Astyanax mexicanus: one gene and its partner. The protein of the gene in region 2 binds, or shares a complex with, the protein of the main gene of each other region. Links are inferred from orthologs where the notes say so. Each region holds a gene or a part of one and is shown on either strand. Other genes may lie near its edges.

What was found. Proteins that work in one complex are often made in the same cells at the same time.
Region 1: the proteins of C-terminal-binding protein 2 (region 2) and zmp:0000001174 are in contact, whole or in part, in a crystal structure (PDB 8ATI), measured with the Homo sapiens proteins. The link is inferred for Astyanax mexicanus from reciprocal best matches to the Homo sapiens genes CTBP2 and RAI2. Residues at the interface, in NP_001077383.1 of Homo sapiens: Leu35, Arg42, Cys44, Met48, Val57, Ala58, Phe59, Cys60, Asp61, Glu67, Ile68, His69, Lys71, Val72; in NP_001166210.2 of Homo sapiens: Glu315, Ala316, Leu317, Asp318, Leu319, Ser320, Met321.

What each region holds. Positions count from the first base shown.
Region 1 is NC_064420.1:11,162,408-11,170,165, reverse strand, and holds the start of zmp:0000001174 (retinoic acid-induced protein 2), read right to left. Parts: upstream 3,301-7,758; 5' UTR 2,971-3,300; intron 1-2,970.
Region 2 is NC_064422.1:18,510,486-18,518,571, forward strand, and holds the start of C-terminal-binding protein 2, read right to left. Parts: upstream 3,476-8,086; 5' UTR 3,131-3,475; intron 1-3,130. UniProt on the Homo sapiens protein: Corepressor targeting diverse transcription regulators. Functions in brown adipose tissue (BAT) differentiation. Isoform 2 probably acts as a scaffold for specialized synapses.

The sequences.
Region 1 (7,758 bases), on a different chromosome or scaffold from region 2:
TCTAACTGTACCACAGAGCTCACATACTTTCGAGCGGAGATTTTTAACTGTACCGCGGAGCTCACCTACATTCGAGTGGAGCTTTTTAACTGTACCACAGAGATCACCTACATTCGAGCGGAGCTTTTTAACTGTACCACAGAGCTCACCTACATTCGAGCGGAGCTTTTTAACTGTACCACAGAGATCACCTACATTCGAGCGGAGCTTTTTAACTGTACCGCAGAGCTCACGTACTTTCGAGCGGAGCTTTTTAACTGTACCGCGGAGATCACCTACTGTCGAGCGGAGCTTTTTAACTGTACCACAGAGATCACCTACTGTCGAGCGGAGCTTTTTAACTGTACCACAGAGCTCACCTACTCTCTACTGGAGCTTTTTAACTGTACCACAGAGCTCACCTACTCTCTACTGGAGCTTTTTAACTGTACCGCAGAGCTCACATACTTTCGAGCGGAGATTTTTAACTGTACCGCGGAGCTCACCTACATTTGAGTGGAGCTTTTTAACTGTACCACAGTCCACAGAGATCACCTACTGTCGAGCGGAGCTTTTTAACTGTACCACAGAGATCACCTACTGTCGAGCGGAGCTTTTTAACTGTACCGCAGAGCTCACGTACTTTCGAGCAGAGCTTTTTAACTGTACCACAGAGCTCACCTAATGTCGAGTGGAGCTTTTTAACTGTACCACAGAGCTCACCTACTGTCGAGCGGAGCTTTTTAACTGTACCCTAGAGCTCACCTACTGTCGAGCGGAGATTTTTATCTGTACCGCAGAGCTCACATACTTTTGAGCGGAGCTTTTTAACTGTACCACAGAGATCACCTACTGTCGAGCGGAGCTTTTTAACTGTGCCGCAGAGCTCACGTACTTTCGAGCGGAGCTTTTTAACTGTACCAGGGAGCTCACATACTCTCTACTGGAGCTTTTTAACTGTACCGTGGAGCTCACCTACTGTCGAGCGGAGATTTTTAACTGTACCACAGAGCTCACCTACTGTCAAGCAGAGCTTTTTAACTGTACCGCGGAGCTCACCTACTGTTTTCACTTACAGGTTTGAGCTTGACGAGATCTCGTCACACCCCTAGCACACACTACTGTCCAATTGTCACACCAGTTGTAGTAAACCCAAATGCTCATAGCTTTTTCTGAAAATTTGTTTTCAAAGGCTTTAACCAGTCACTCATATGAGCTTGTATCTAATGGACTGCAAGTACTGCAAGTATATACCAAAACCATATTTGACTGTTCTACGGGAGCTAAGTGAGGGAGGCACTTGTGTGGCCAACAGATATTAAGATTGGATTTTAGCTGCAGGACACAAGATGAAAACAACTGGGTTATTGAGTATGAAAAGGAAATATTGCTTTTTAAGAAAATGACAGAACCCATTAGTGCATCTAACCATTTATTCATCTGTTCATTCTCCACCCTGTTGGTGATTTTTTTATGAAATATATTTTTGTACTGCTGCCAGTACAAGGGTACAAACTTGTGGGTACAAGCTTATGTGTGTGCATATTTGCATTCTATGAAGCCATTGCTAATCCTTGTTGCAATCATACACATCTCTACACACAGAAGTCAGCATGGTGGATATGTCTATAAAGCTAGCCTATATTTGGGACACTCTTGTACACCCCTATTGTCATGAAACCAGACCAATTCTATTTATGTACGCTGGTGGTATAGCTTGTCATGGTAGTAATGCAGTGATCCTATACCTTTTAAAACCTTACACTGCTTGTGAGTCCAACAAAAATTTAATGGATTTTAGCTCCAAAACACAATATAGAAACCAGTAGGTTGAGCATTTTAAAGATCCAGAGATTGTTATTCATATTCATTAGCCTGTTTAGGCTGTCTTATTAACTAGTTTTGGGTTGAGAATAATTAGTGACAATTTATTACATACAATTTTATATACATGTTATGTTGGAGCCTTGTGCAAGGATCCAAACCACTGATGTGAGGTAGCTTGCATTCATCATATAGATCTCTATCTCAGTCCTCTGTATTCATGTGAATGGTACTTTGCTAACGAACAAATTGCTTATAATAGTACAGAGAATATATCTCTTCAGGCTTCTGCATGTTCATTTTCATATTCACACAGAGAAGGAGATGTACCTGTGTGGCCAACAGATTGTATTTAATGTTAGATCAGAGCCTATTCAGGCTGTCTTATTGATTATGTTTGGGTTGAGAATAACTGCTGGACCCTTTGGAAGCCATTCCTGATGGGTTGTTATTACTGTGCAAGGATCTAAAAGGGTGATAATACACACAGGGGTGACCACGGTGAATATGTTACCCCTGTATTCATGGAAACAGACCAGTGTTGTTAACCTAAATGGTTGGTTTACTAATAAATGAATAATAATACAGTGAGTATATTAATACAGTGAGTATATTTCTTTAGGCTTCTTCACCATATTCCTTTGAAATCTAGGAGAGCATATTTAGGCTGTCAAACTGACTGAGTTTGGGTTGAGCTTAAGTCCTGACAGTTTATTAGATACAAATGTATATATGCGTGCTTGGTTGGAGCTTTTGGAAGCCATTGTTGATGGGTTTTGTTCCCAGTCCTCACTGTGCGATGATTCAAAACGTTGATATGGTACTAATAATACAGTGAGTATATCTCTTTAAGATTCATTATATTCATTTTAAATCTACGAGGGGTGAGTGGGGAAATGTGTGGCCAACAGCCTCATAAGCAAAACATATTAGAGCGTTATGCGATTACAATTGTTTTGTTTTTTTTTTAGTTTCAGGACACAATATGGAAACCAGTGGGTTGATCTTTAAGTGTTGTAAAGGTCCATTGACTGTTACTGAGCGTACAAAAGCGGGGTTGGCCAATTTGTATTTTGATCGAATTCATCCTTAGCGTGGGAATACACATACTAGCTACTAATACCAAATGCTAAAAATTAGTCTAGAAACGAGGGAGACGCTTCTTACCTGAGAAACAGTAAATCGCTGAGAGAACAAGGGAAATGGAGAAAATAACGGCGGCGTCGTCTGAGCCAGTCTGTGGATTATCCTCGGTATCCGCGTTTATTTCATTATTTTTAAAGGGGGGTTGGCTTCAGTCGCCGCTAGAAAATTATGATAATCGTATTTTTCGTCGTTTCTCTTTGTGACGGGGTTTCTTCTCCTCATGAAAACAACGCAGATAAAAAATAACCGAATGGACGCTGCGGCGGTCGATCACACGAGCGCAGCCCCACCAGCTTCACCCGGTCCCCGTCTCTTCACCGTAAGATCTCCTCAGAGCAAGATCTGTCAAGACCCCCCCCCCCGTCTCTCTCTCTCTCTCTCTCTCTCTCTCTTTCTCACAGCGAGGAGGAGGAGAAGGATGGAGCCGTGTGACAGCAGAGCTGCGCGCGCAGCCTTCGCTCTCTCTGTCTCTCACTAAAGAGAAGGGGGGGGTGAGGGCGGTGTTAAAGGGACCCAGAGAGCAAATTAACATTGAATTAACGTTCAATTTTCCATCTCTAATTCAATTGAAACAGCGTTGATCTCTGAGGACAGAGTTGTTTATTTATTGGTTCACAGTTAAGCTTTTATATGTTTGTATGTGTTTTCTATTTTTATAGCTTGTATTGTGATCTTGCAGTGTTGAAATGTACAATATGGCCAAAATCTATTTCACGATATACTTTTTATCTCGGTCGATGCGACATACTTTTGATATCGATATGAACACTACAGCCACCGCCTTTGTTATATGTAATAACGTGATTTTAAACACCCAATTACGCATAATGTTATTTTATTTTAATCTTCGCTACATATGATTCAGTTAAAAATGATTTTTACATTCTCTGTAACAATAAGAACATTTATCATATGTTAAAATATCTAATTATTGCTCTCAGACTCCGTCTGCTGACGGCAAACTAGCCGTTATCCCAGCAGGTGACAGCAGGTTACTTTCTGGACCCCCAGATCCCCAGACATATCAATAATTTTTCTACTGTATAATAAGAATTAATATTATTTGTGGAGAGCACCTTTCACGCATTGTGAGTGCAAAAAAGACCGAACCATTCAAAGCTTTTAACTGAATGTTGAATCAATGTCAGAATTTGAACCCTAACAGAAGCCTGTTGTTAAATGTAAAATACATGTTGTTCCTCATCATCAACGTTAAAATATGTAATGTAACAAAAAATATCCAGTGTTCTTAAATAGTATCAGTATCAACTTTAATTTTCTGATTCTGCCTGCAAAATCAACAACCTGGCAGATATTTTTGGCTTCCTGCAAAACAATGGCATTCATATTATATTATTATTATATATATTTCTACAGTCATTGTTTCTAAATTACAAAATGGTCTGGAATATCTTAATTTGCAGTATGTAATTTATAGACACTCCAAATACCAAAATGCATGTACGCGAGTACTGGAAACATGAATTTCACATGTTAATACACTTTAAGCTTAGTCCTAGACTAGTACATTTCCACTTCACAAAGCATCCTCATTTAGATTTTGGCAAACAGCCTGAGTAATTCTGAACCTTGAAACTGCAAGAGATTTTGATGATAACAGTGCTGGACCTGGTCTCAGACTCTGTCCAAATATCTCAGTCTCATAATTGCTTATGTCAGGCCTTTGTCAGAGAGGACTCCTGGATCAGGACTTATGTTAAGCCTCCCTATCAGGAGCAGATTGAGTAAGGGCTTTTTCCCTGGGGAGGCCCTATCACTACCAGCCAGCTTGGGGCCATGCCTACAGCTACTGCACTATTGTTCCACTGGGGAGAAATGCTGAATGGTCTTAATGACTTGCAGGTCTCTGGTGTAAATCCCTCCCTCAAACACCCACATATGGACACGCAAAAAACACACACATATGGAGTAATAATAAGAAAGATAGTTGTGTTTGGCAACCATAGCTGATTACATTTTTTCCAGACGATTTATTGCATTTAAGGGCTTCAAACGTTTTCAAATGTCTTTATTTTAAGGGTGAGATAGTCAGCTGTTTCCTACTGGGAAAAAGGAAAAAGGGATGTGATACACTGTATAAAAATAAAGATATATAAAGATGTAGAGACAGAGAGAGAGACGAGAGACAAAGAAATATAATGAGTGTGCAGTGAGAAGATAAAGAGACTGCAAAGTAAAAATGAGGAAAGCTCTAGCAAAGACTAGAGACAGGGACAAGGAATTTAAAGAGCATGTTGGCAGAATTAGCATAGTTAACTGACACTAAGAAATACAAGACTGGCCTAAAAATGAGAAAGAATTGAGGGGGTAGACCCATAGTGCATGTTGTCTTGTCAGGAACAGACTAGATTAAGCTGGATGATGTTGTATTTAAGAAGAAGAACCAGCACTGTGAATTTAATTTAGGTCACCTCCCCTCCCCCCAGCCTGTGTTTTATCCCTCCATTAAAAGGGAGTCGAGAGGTACTGAGTGGCCGTTTGTGATCCGAATTGTAGTGTATTGTATTCAGCTGTGGTCCAAATGTGCTTCCTTTAGGGTAGAAAGTGTAAACCCTTTAAATATATTAAGTGCAGGTGTGTGATGTGGGCCAATCATCAGTACACAAAACCTTTTAAACTTGAAGAAAACCAGTTTACTTATCATGTGTTCTACTGATAATGTTGTAAACCCAATAGTACTAGTAATCAGTTCCTTTATAGCTTTTTTCAGTTTCTCCAGCTTCTCAGGGATTTCTTTCTTGCCTAAAAAAGACTTTTATTTTAATTGTTCATTGTTTAAAGGTGCTACACAAAAGGCCCCAGGCTGGCACGATAGGCAAAGCATAATCAATTCTGGCTCCATTAAAAAACATTTTTGTAAAAAAAAAAATATATATATATATATAATAAAATACTAATACAAGAAACATTTCAACATGAAAAGAACCAAATACACTGGCAAGAGTAAAACAAGTGACACAACCATTAGCAAATGCTAGTAACACGCACATCCAGTTTCTCCTACACCAAAAAAATGTCACATTGAAATTCATGAATACACTTTACTTTAAATAGAGGGTGTGGTTTTAGTTACTATTTTTCCTACAGCATTTTTTATAGCGTTACTACAGAATGTCTTTATTGCCTTAATCACAATTTGTTTTGTTACTTTTCATTCTTAAATATAAAGGTGCTATTCTTTGCATCATGACTAAAGGATAACTAATTTTGGTTCCATAAAAACATTTTTGCAAAAGAGATGTTTATGTAAAGACACTGAGTAGCTCCTCCCTTTCCATTTTGCATTGCATTGTTGGATAATAAGTGTCCACCATAACCACACTCAAAAATGACTGGAAGCATGTATTGTGGATAACAACCTAATGTTCTCCAGAAATGGTAGTTATGGTCCTTTTTGGGATCCAAAGGGGATTTGTTGTGGCATCATACACTCTAAAAACAGATGTACGATATAAGTACTTTTCTGTACTCAAAGGTACAATATTGGTCTTTACAGGGTCAGATGTTCCCTCTGAGGTAAAAAGTCTTTCCTAACAGCAATAAGTACAGATTTGTACCATTTAACCAGCGAAAAATGTACATTCGGTATTCTGTATGACTGTACTAATAAACAATATATGTTTTAATTGCACTTTTTTTTTTGAAAGTCAGAAAATTTTGGATCATCAAGTTCTTGACACATGTTCAGTTGATGATAATGTTTATAATCTGTATAATCTTTACTGGCACAAAAAACATGGGTACAAAAAAGGACTTTCAATGAAAGGTACTTTTTTTTTTTACCTCAAAATAAGGTACAGCTCCAGCGACAAGCTTTGTACTCTTTTAGTTCTTTTTCTTTTTTGAATTCTCATGTTTCTTTTTTTATCTCTTATTTTTCTTAGTGTGTACATAGATTTAATTAAAGTGCCTTTGTTTTTAAGAGTGAACAATTCTGACATAAAGCAGACATCCTAGTAATCCATCTAGGAACATGTAGAAGAAAGTATGGTTTTAAGAAGACAGGTTCAGGAAGTTTAAGTTCAAACTGAACTCCGGAAAGCCTGGTGACGTTTTTAGCAGCGGAGTGCTTTGTTTGTGGCTTCTGGAAGAAAACCTTCCCTAGCGCTGATAACGTTCATCAGGAAACTGGCTGACACTACAAAGCTTATTCACTGTTCAACAAGTCGTTTCAGTTGTATTTTCATGGGTCCCAACCAAAAGAAAGAAAAGGAAAGGCAACAGGACGGCTTTCTCCACTTCCCTGTTCATGGGCACAGAAACAGGAAACAAGAAACATAGCTGTACAAAATAAAAAGCAGTTATGCAAATTCCTCAAATTCCGAGGGTCCAGCATCCCTCGGTATCGGGTCAGACAGGTGGGCAGTCAGTGACTCGGAGGAAAGCAGAGAGATGGATTATGTAAAACAGAAAATATAAAACAGTATAAGAGTGACATACAAGGGGGCGCTATGGAGCTGGGAACCAAGATGGTCGCATAGCGTGGAAGCTCTGTAAAGACACGCACAAAATTAATCGAAAACCCCAAATTAATTATATCAACTGAATTGGAAGCATGTCAAAAACAACTGCAGTCAAGGAATGTGATATTTTCACTCGGAAGCGCTCTTCTCAAAAAGCCAAATACAAGCAATTTGCCGACCGGACGACAAGGCCGTCAACAACATGGCGGATCTAGCGATGGTGTTGGCTGAGTTGAAGTCACTCCGCTCAGAGTTTGGGGATTTTGAGTCCAAACTGGACAGTATAGATAAACGGATAAGATGGCCAATTCTGTTGCTGCACTGG
Region 2 (8,086 bases):
TATAATATATTTTTTATTTATTTAATAGATTTAAAATTGAACAAAGGGTGCACAAATTCTGCAAAATGACTGTAGGTGACCTTAAAATAGTATCATGAGCTTTTACTAAAAGGACATGGACCAGATATATTCCATCAGTAAAAATTAGTCCTAAGTGGCCTACACAATTAATAATTTTTAGTTAGTACTTCTTTCTTTTGATCACTCCACCCCTGATCAGTTCAGTTCATTTCGGTCCTCTCCACATTTCTAGTTAAGCTGAGTCACAAGGTGTAATTTTTTTATTTTAAAAGGTTTAATCTGTGTGTTTTATTTCGGAGACGAGTGTTTTTTAGCAGCTATCAGAAAAATCTTATCACAGTTTTCATGATTAGCCGCCTACCATTACCTTTCTTTTAGAAAAATCGCTGAATATCCAGATATGTTTTAACATCAGCAGCTCCGACTAGCTGCCTGAACTCACAGCGACGGGGGCTTCCCCACACTGACCCTCCTTTGCCATCTGATTGGCTGTTTCTCCTGAAAGGCGGGACTTTCTCCTTGAACCGGTTCCACGATTGGTTAAGAGACACAGAGCAGTCAGCTCCCTGTCTCCTCAATAATATATATATTTTTTAATTTTAATATAATACGGGAAATTTACGGTAAAATACTAATACGGGAGGACGGCGGGAAAGAGGAGTAAAATACGGTAGTTTCCCGGCCAAAACGGGAGACTTGACAGGTATGCCTGTTCCTTACTAGGGGCGCATAATGTGCCTTATAATCTGGTGCATCTTATAGTGCAAAAAATACATTTAACTTAAATGTATCCTATTAGGTATGTATTATAAATATCTATTGTAAATGTATGTGTATATATTATGTGTACATGTCAAAATACAAATACATGTCACTACACTGTGTATACACACTTGAGCAATTCTGAGAAATGTACAGCCCTCACCATTCCTCTGACAAATCTAACAACCAGAGCAAATAAAAAAAAAACCTACAACAATGAACCACGATATCCAAGAGCATCACGTCCAAATCATAAAAAACACTTCTATTAGCACTCCTCTATATACACTGATTAAACCCAGCTGATAAAACAACATTAACCACATTCCTGCCCTCTGTAAGAGGATCTGGCACTCTACAAGACCCTCAACCACAGGGTGAGGATTAAAGATCTGTGTAGAATTAGACATGCGGTCCACTGGGACAACAATTAGCACACTATCCATCCCCTCAACCACCCATCCCTCTTCATCATTACCAATTAATAGATTACTAATGAGATCCAGATAAGGTTACAAATACCTGTTAGAGATGTGATCTTGTATGTATCTTACACCACAACACAACATAACAAGAAAAAAAGCTAGGGTTGGCATTCAATCAATGTCAACACATTTCTGATATTTAAATATACATTATTTACAGCGAATTACATGAATTGGTTAGTTTCTGTGGCCTTTCGACTTATCGACTGAAATGAAGAAATATATTGAAAAATAAATGTCTATATCATCCAGATAAAAAAAGATCACTTATGATTCTATTTTATTATTATTATTATTATTATTATTATTATTATTATTATTATTATTATTATTACTATCAATCCCCATTTAGTCTCTTTGCTTGGTTTCAGGGTGGGCATAAAACAGCAAAATATGAAAAAAATAAATGTACCAACAGGTTTTATGGGACATAGTAACTACTGCACACACTGCACCCATTTGAGGTATTTGAAGCACTTGCAGGTGGATGAATGGTAAACCTGGTATGCATTAAAAAGTATGATGAAAATTGTGATATTACCAATTGGTCATAAAAATAGCAATATGTCTACTAGTATATATGTCATCATAGTCAAAAAAAAGTAAATGTCATAGCCATAGATTAGCATTAAAAAAATATATAACCATAAAATATAAATGTACGGTTAACATCTGGGAGAAACTACAGTTAGATAAATCGAAACACCAGTATAGATATATTACAAGCTTTTTTAACCCCTTATCTGAGTAAGTAACTTTCAGGGGGTGGGGGATATTTTTGCACGTTTGGCTCCATTCATTTGGACCATTTGGTTTGCAGGTGGACGAATTGTATAAATATTATTATATTTATAAGTCATACTGTATATACAGCTCTGGAAAAATAAAGGGACCACATACAGCTCTGGAAGGGACCACTTCAGTTACTGATTTTGCTATTTATAGGTATATGTTTGAGTAAAACAAACATTGTTGAGCATTTAATTGAAAAAAATGAGAAATGCTCAGAATAACAAAAAAAGATGAAGAGCTTTCTGTCCTCAAATAATGCAAAGAAAACAAGTTAATATTAAAAGTTTTAGGAAATTTAGAAATCAATATTTGGTGGAATAACCCTGGTTTTTAATCACAGTTTTCATGCATCTTGGCAGCATGCTCTCCTCCACCAGTCTTACACACTGCTTTTGGATAACTTTATGCCACTGCTGTTGCAAAAATTCAAGCAGTTCAGCTTGGTTTGATGGCTTGTGATCAATTTTTTCAAAGCTATATTATATTATATAAATATATACAAAATATAATATAATACAATATAATATAATATTATATATATATTAATAATACAATAATAATATAATAATACAATATAATATATACACACAAGCATTTTATATATATCATTCATTACTAGCCATATATGGGTATATGTTGGTTCTGCAACATTGAGAAAATCAACATTGCCTCAGAAATAATGGTACACGCCACCTTTTTTTGATGAATGAAACATAAAAATGGGGTTTAAGACCATAGTCAAAGCGAAATAAACACAGTAACGCGTCCACACCTCTACTAATTACCGTTAAGTTAAGATTCGTATGGCAAAAAAGGCGAAAACATGAAGTTGGAATTGATTTTGGAATTCTTCCGTTCCACCTTAAACAGTGCGGCAGTTCCATTTTGGCGCTTAAGGAGTCAGAATGGAAATGCTGCCCTATTTAAGGTGGAACGGAGGAATTCCAAAATCAGAAGCCAACTTCAGCTCCGTAAACACATGGTCAAATCCAAACACGCTAAATAAAACACAAACAGTCACATATCCGACCTCAAAAACGCATCCGAAAACACAGAAACAGCGAGCGTACCTCAACGTGAAGAGCGGTCAGCGCGAGTTACGGTGAAGGAGTTTCTCCTAATGTTTTTAGGCGTCCAGGGATAGCATCCCAGCTCGGCAGAAGGAGGACAGTAGTCTTCTTTTTGGAGAGGGGGATACTGTCCTCTTTCGCTTCTTTAACGCGATACTTTGTATCCAGTCTGAGGCCGCGGGCGCGCGCGGCGAAGAAAATCTGTAGCGAAGAAAATCACGAGAAAACGGCGATGCGCGCGTGTTTTCGTGCCGCGCGAGCCGAAGGGAAACAGTGTAGCAGTGTTGGAGAGTGTTGGAGAGGGGTGGTGTTTTTTTTTTGGTCTCTCTCTCTCTCTCTCTCTCTCTCTCTCTCTCTCTCTCTCTCTCTCCACTCTTCTTCCTTTCTTTATCAAGGCGGGGTCTTGGCTCTGCTAAACCAATGACACAAAGCCCAAAGAAACAGCCCCCCCCCCCCTCCACCTCCCACCTCCCATATCCACTACACACACACACACACACACACACACTGGTGTGTATTCATATCTTTGTCAGTTGTTTCTGTATGACTGTCTAAATGCTGCTGCCCTCAACCCTGACCTTTGACCCCAAGCCAAACAATAGATCAGTTCTTGCCTATTTCTTCATTTTTATTTCTCGTAAATTATGTTTTTCTCTTTTTTTATGGAAAATCTTGATGTTTTACACGTTTTTACATAGTTAAAGAAGAAACTGTACTGTACTGGAACAACAAAAAAAAAACAAAAAAAAAAACAAATGTTTACAATTTCACACAATACTACAAAAACACACACAAAAAACCACTGGAAAAAAAATTACGGAAATGAACTGCTTCAATCGCAACAAGCTTCTTATACCATCTAAACAGGAATTTTGGACCACTCTTCTTTTGCAAACTGCTTGAAGTCTCTCATATTTCAAGGATGCCTCCTCCCACCAGCAAGTTTAGGATCTCTCTTTATGCGTTCAATGAGATTTAGATCCAGTCTCATTGCTTGGCCACTCCAGAACTCTGACTTCAGAAGCATTTTGTTTTCATACATCTCTGGGTGCTTTTTGAAGTATGTTTGGGGTCATTGTCTTGTTGGGAGACCCATGACACAGTATGCAAACCCAGCTAATCACAGAGTATTGTTATGATTGATCTGATTACATTTTTAAAATAATTTTGTTTCTAATTTTTCCCATTTACACGGCCAATTACCCAACCCACTCATTAGGACTCCCTCTATCACTAGTGATGCCCCAACACACCAGGAGGGTGAAGACTAACACATGCTTTCTCCGATACATGTGAAGTCTGCAACCGCTTCTTTTTGAGCTGCTGCAGCATTGCTGAGTAGCATCATAGCGCACTCAGATTAAAGCGCAGCGGCTCGGTTCTGATACATCAGCTCACAGACGTCCTGTGCTGCGGACATCACCCTAGGAGAGATGTGGGGAGAGAGCGCCATCTACCCACCCGGAGGGAGCAGGGCCAATTTTGCTCCCTCTGAGCGCCGGCAGCTTGATGGCAAAGCTGCATGAGCGGGGATTTGAACCTGCGACCTCCCGCTCACAGTGGCAGTGCTTTAGACCGCTGGACCACTCGGCACCCCTGATTAAATTTTTTAACCAACTGACACCACTAATACAAACACATTTACTGTACACTAGCTCGGTGTGTCACGTACACTGGAGCGTAGCGCACTCGTGCGACCCACGGTAACTCGTTCATCAGCGAGAGTAGTCTTTAAGAAAGCAGCTAGCGTACATAACGATTAGCGTTTACCACCGACTGTGAATAATTTAGCTGCAGGCTTTAGAACGGCTCTAAAGAGGCTGAGTGATGACGAGCCATTCACAACGAGCTCAGTGTGCTCATGGTATAATGGCATTTCTGAGTGTATAAAAACACGGGCTTCAAACATCTCACAGCACAGGTATTCAGCTTATTCCAACCTTCAGCTTCTGAGAGCCAACCTCCACAATTTCTTTTTTTTATGCTTGAATAGTTTATGTGCTCTAAAGTAAACAAAGAATAAAAAAAAATAGGACAGACAATAGGACAAACAGCGAGCCTATGTTTTGTTCTGCTCCATAAGTTCGATACGGTTCGATGAGAACGAGAGAGAGAGAGAGAGAGAAAGAGAGAGAAAGAGACAGTGGGAGAGAAAGTGAGTGAGAGAGAGAGAGAGAGTGAGTGAGGGTTTATCGCGAGGCCCGGAGGAGTGTAAATATGGATTAGGCTGATGTCTGTCTTCATTAAAGTTTAACAGTGACAGAAGACTCTGGTGAATTATTCATTAAAAACTCCGGCAGATGATGTTATTTATCGCCCGGGTGTCACGCGCCATCTTCTCTTTCATCCTAAACTGGTGATTTACATGTTGTTGTAACGTCTAATGTGTTGTGATGAATCCTCCGGGCGTCGCCCGCTAATTCTCCGACTTCGCCGCGCTCAAAATACCCATAATGATCCTACATTATAACGGAATGCAAACGATGACATAATTGTCAATCATTAGTAAAGCATCATTCACAAGTGTTCTACAGAGCACTAAACTACAGCTGTCACGATTCATCAGTTACGTTTGATTAATAAATGCAAATAATCAGTGATTAGTTGAGTGTACATGACGGTAATTGCATTGCATACTTTGTAAACTATAATCACATTTGGCTATTTGCCTTTGGTTAGTAATAAGGTCAAAAATTAACTAAATAATGATGCGATTTCAAACAGGTGATGTGAACAGGTGATTATAACCATGATTTAGTCTTTGAGGAGCAATGATGGTCAGAGGATCGTCAGTTTGTAGCAAATGTGAGAAAATGATTGAAATGTATAACATTAAGGAATTCTTTATAGGACTAATCCTAATCAATATAGTGTTCAAAAGTAGGGAACAGTGAACTGATCCAATAAAAGGAACAGGAACAGCTACATTATAGTGGGTCAAAATAAGGATCAGTGATTAGGGAACTGTTAGTGTTCCTTATAACAGTGCTCTATTTATAGCACCAATGTAGGAATCAGTGATTGAGTATTGACTATTCCTGTTATGTATGATACTCTTCAATACTGTATATATATATATATATATATATATAGTATACGGTGCTTATTATAGGAAAGAAACACTATCCCAACCAATCTAGCGCTGTATAAAAAAGTATTTGCTCCCTAAACCTATAACTTGTTTGTGTCACTCATCAATCACTGCAATCAAGCTTTACAGATAAATTTTGCTCCACTTTTCTTTACAGAATTGTTTTAATTCAGACACATTGGAGGATTTTCCAGCATAAACCACCTGTTTAAGATCATGACTTTGACTAGGACACTCCAAAACCTTTATTTAGTTTTTGTTTTTTAAAGCCATTCAGAGATGGACTTGTTTGTGTGCTTTGGATCATTGTCCTGCTGCAGAACCCAAGTACACCTGAGCTTGAGGTCACAAACAGATGGCCGGACCTTCTCTTTCAGGATTTTCTGGTAAACAGTAGAATTCCTGGTTCCAACTATTTTGGCAAGCTGTCCAGGCCCATCACACTACCACCACCATGTTTTACATTCAGTATGATGTTCTATTTTCTGACATTATGTGTTGGTTTTACATAGAGGTGGAAAGTAATGAATTACATTTACTCAAGTTACTGTAATTGAGTAGATTTTATGAGTAATTTGTAATTTTTAAAGTAGTTTTTAAAATAGGTAATTTTACTTTTACTCAACTACATTTTGACACAAGTAATTTACTTTGCTACACTGGAAAACTCACAATTACTGAGTAAAAAATAAAATGCTGAGGAAAAAAAACAATTGTCTGAATTAAAAAAAAATAGATAGAACACAGATGCTCGCGCGTGGAATAACGAGGCAATAACGTCCTCATGCAATGCAAAATGTGCCCCACCGGACAGAGCTGTTCAGCTTTCAAAACTTCCACATCAAACCTGTGAAAGCATGTAGTGGTAATTATTTTTATCATTAAATAATCTGCTTGAATGTTAAAAAAAATGTAAATAGCAGTTAAAGCATATCAATGGCAAGTTAAAAAATAACAATGAACTGTAAAACTATAAAATAACAGTTTATAGTCTCCTATATTACCATAACTTTTTAATAGTAAAGAAAAAAATGGATCATAGAAACCTGGGCCACTTGTTCTTGAAAATGTTTTATGGGGTGGTCTAAACAAATACTGCCTGAAAGATCCAAATTATTATGTGAAATAATAGTTCATTAAAAACAATTTAATTTATGATTTGTTTTTACTTTTTTGCATCAAATAATTAAAAGTAACTATGTAACTTTTACTCAAAGTACATTTTAAATTAAGTACTTTTTACTTTTACTCGAGTAGATTTTTAGATGGGTACTTTTACTTTTACTTGAGTAAAATTTTAGCAAAGTAAAGGTACTTTTACTTACAATTTTTCAGTACTTTTTCTGGTTTTACAGCAGATGTAATGGCACACACCTTTCAAAAAGCTCCACTTTTGTCTCTTCAGTCCAAAGAATATTTACCCAAAGTCCTGGAGATCATCAAGATGTTTTTTGGTAAATGTGAGATGGGCCATTGTGTTATTTTTGGTCATCATTAATACTGATCTTAACTGAGGCAAGTGAGACCTGCAGCTCTTTAAATGTTGTTCTGGGTTCTTTTGGTACCTCCAGGATGAGTTGTCCATGCCCTTTTTTTAGATAGCTAAGAGAATAAAGTGAAAATAAATGATGCAACTTCATTAGACGAGATAATGGAGAATGCAATTGTGCCAGGATTGTTTGATAAAAATATTTTAAAATGATATTTAAGGTAAAAATGATCTTATTTCTTTTAATAAGACACACTCACCCCTCCTCTGAACTCTCCTGTGAACTGAACTTCATTTACAGGCCACAAATTTTTTTAAGGGGAGAGGTGGAGCTTTTTAAGTTGAGGGTTTGATGGACTGGACCCCTAAACCACTG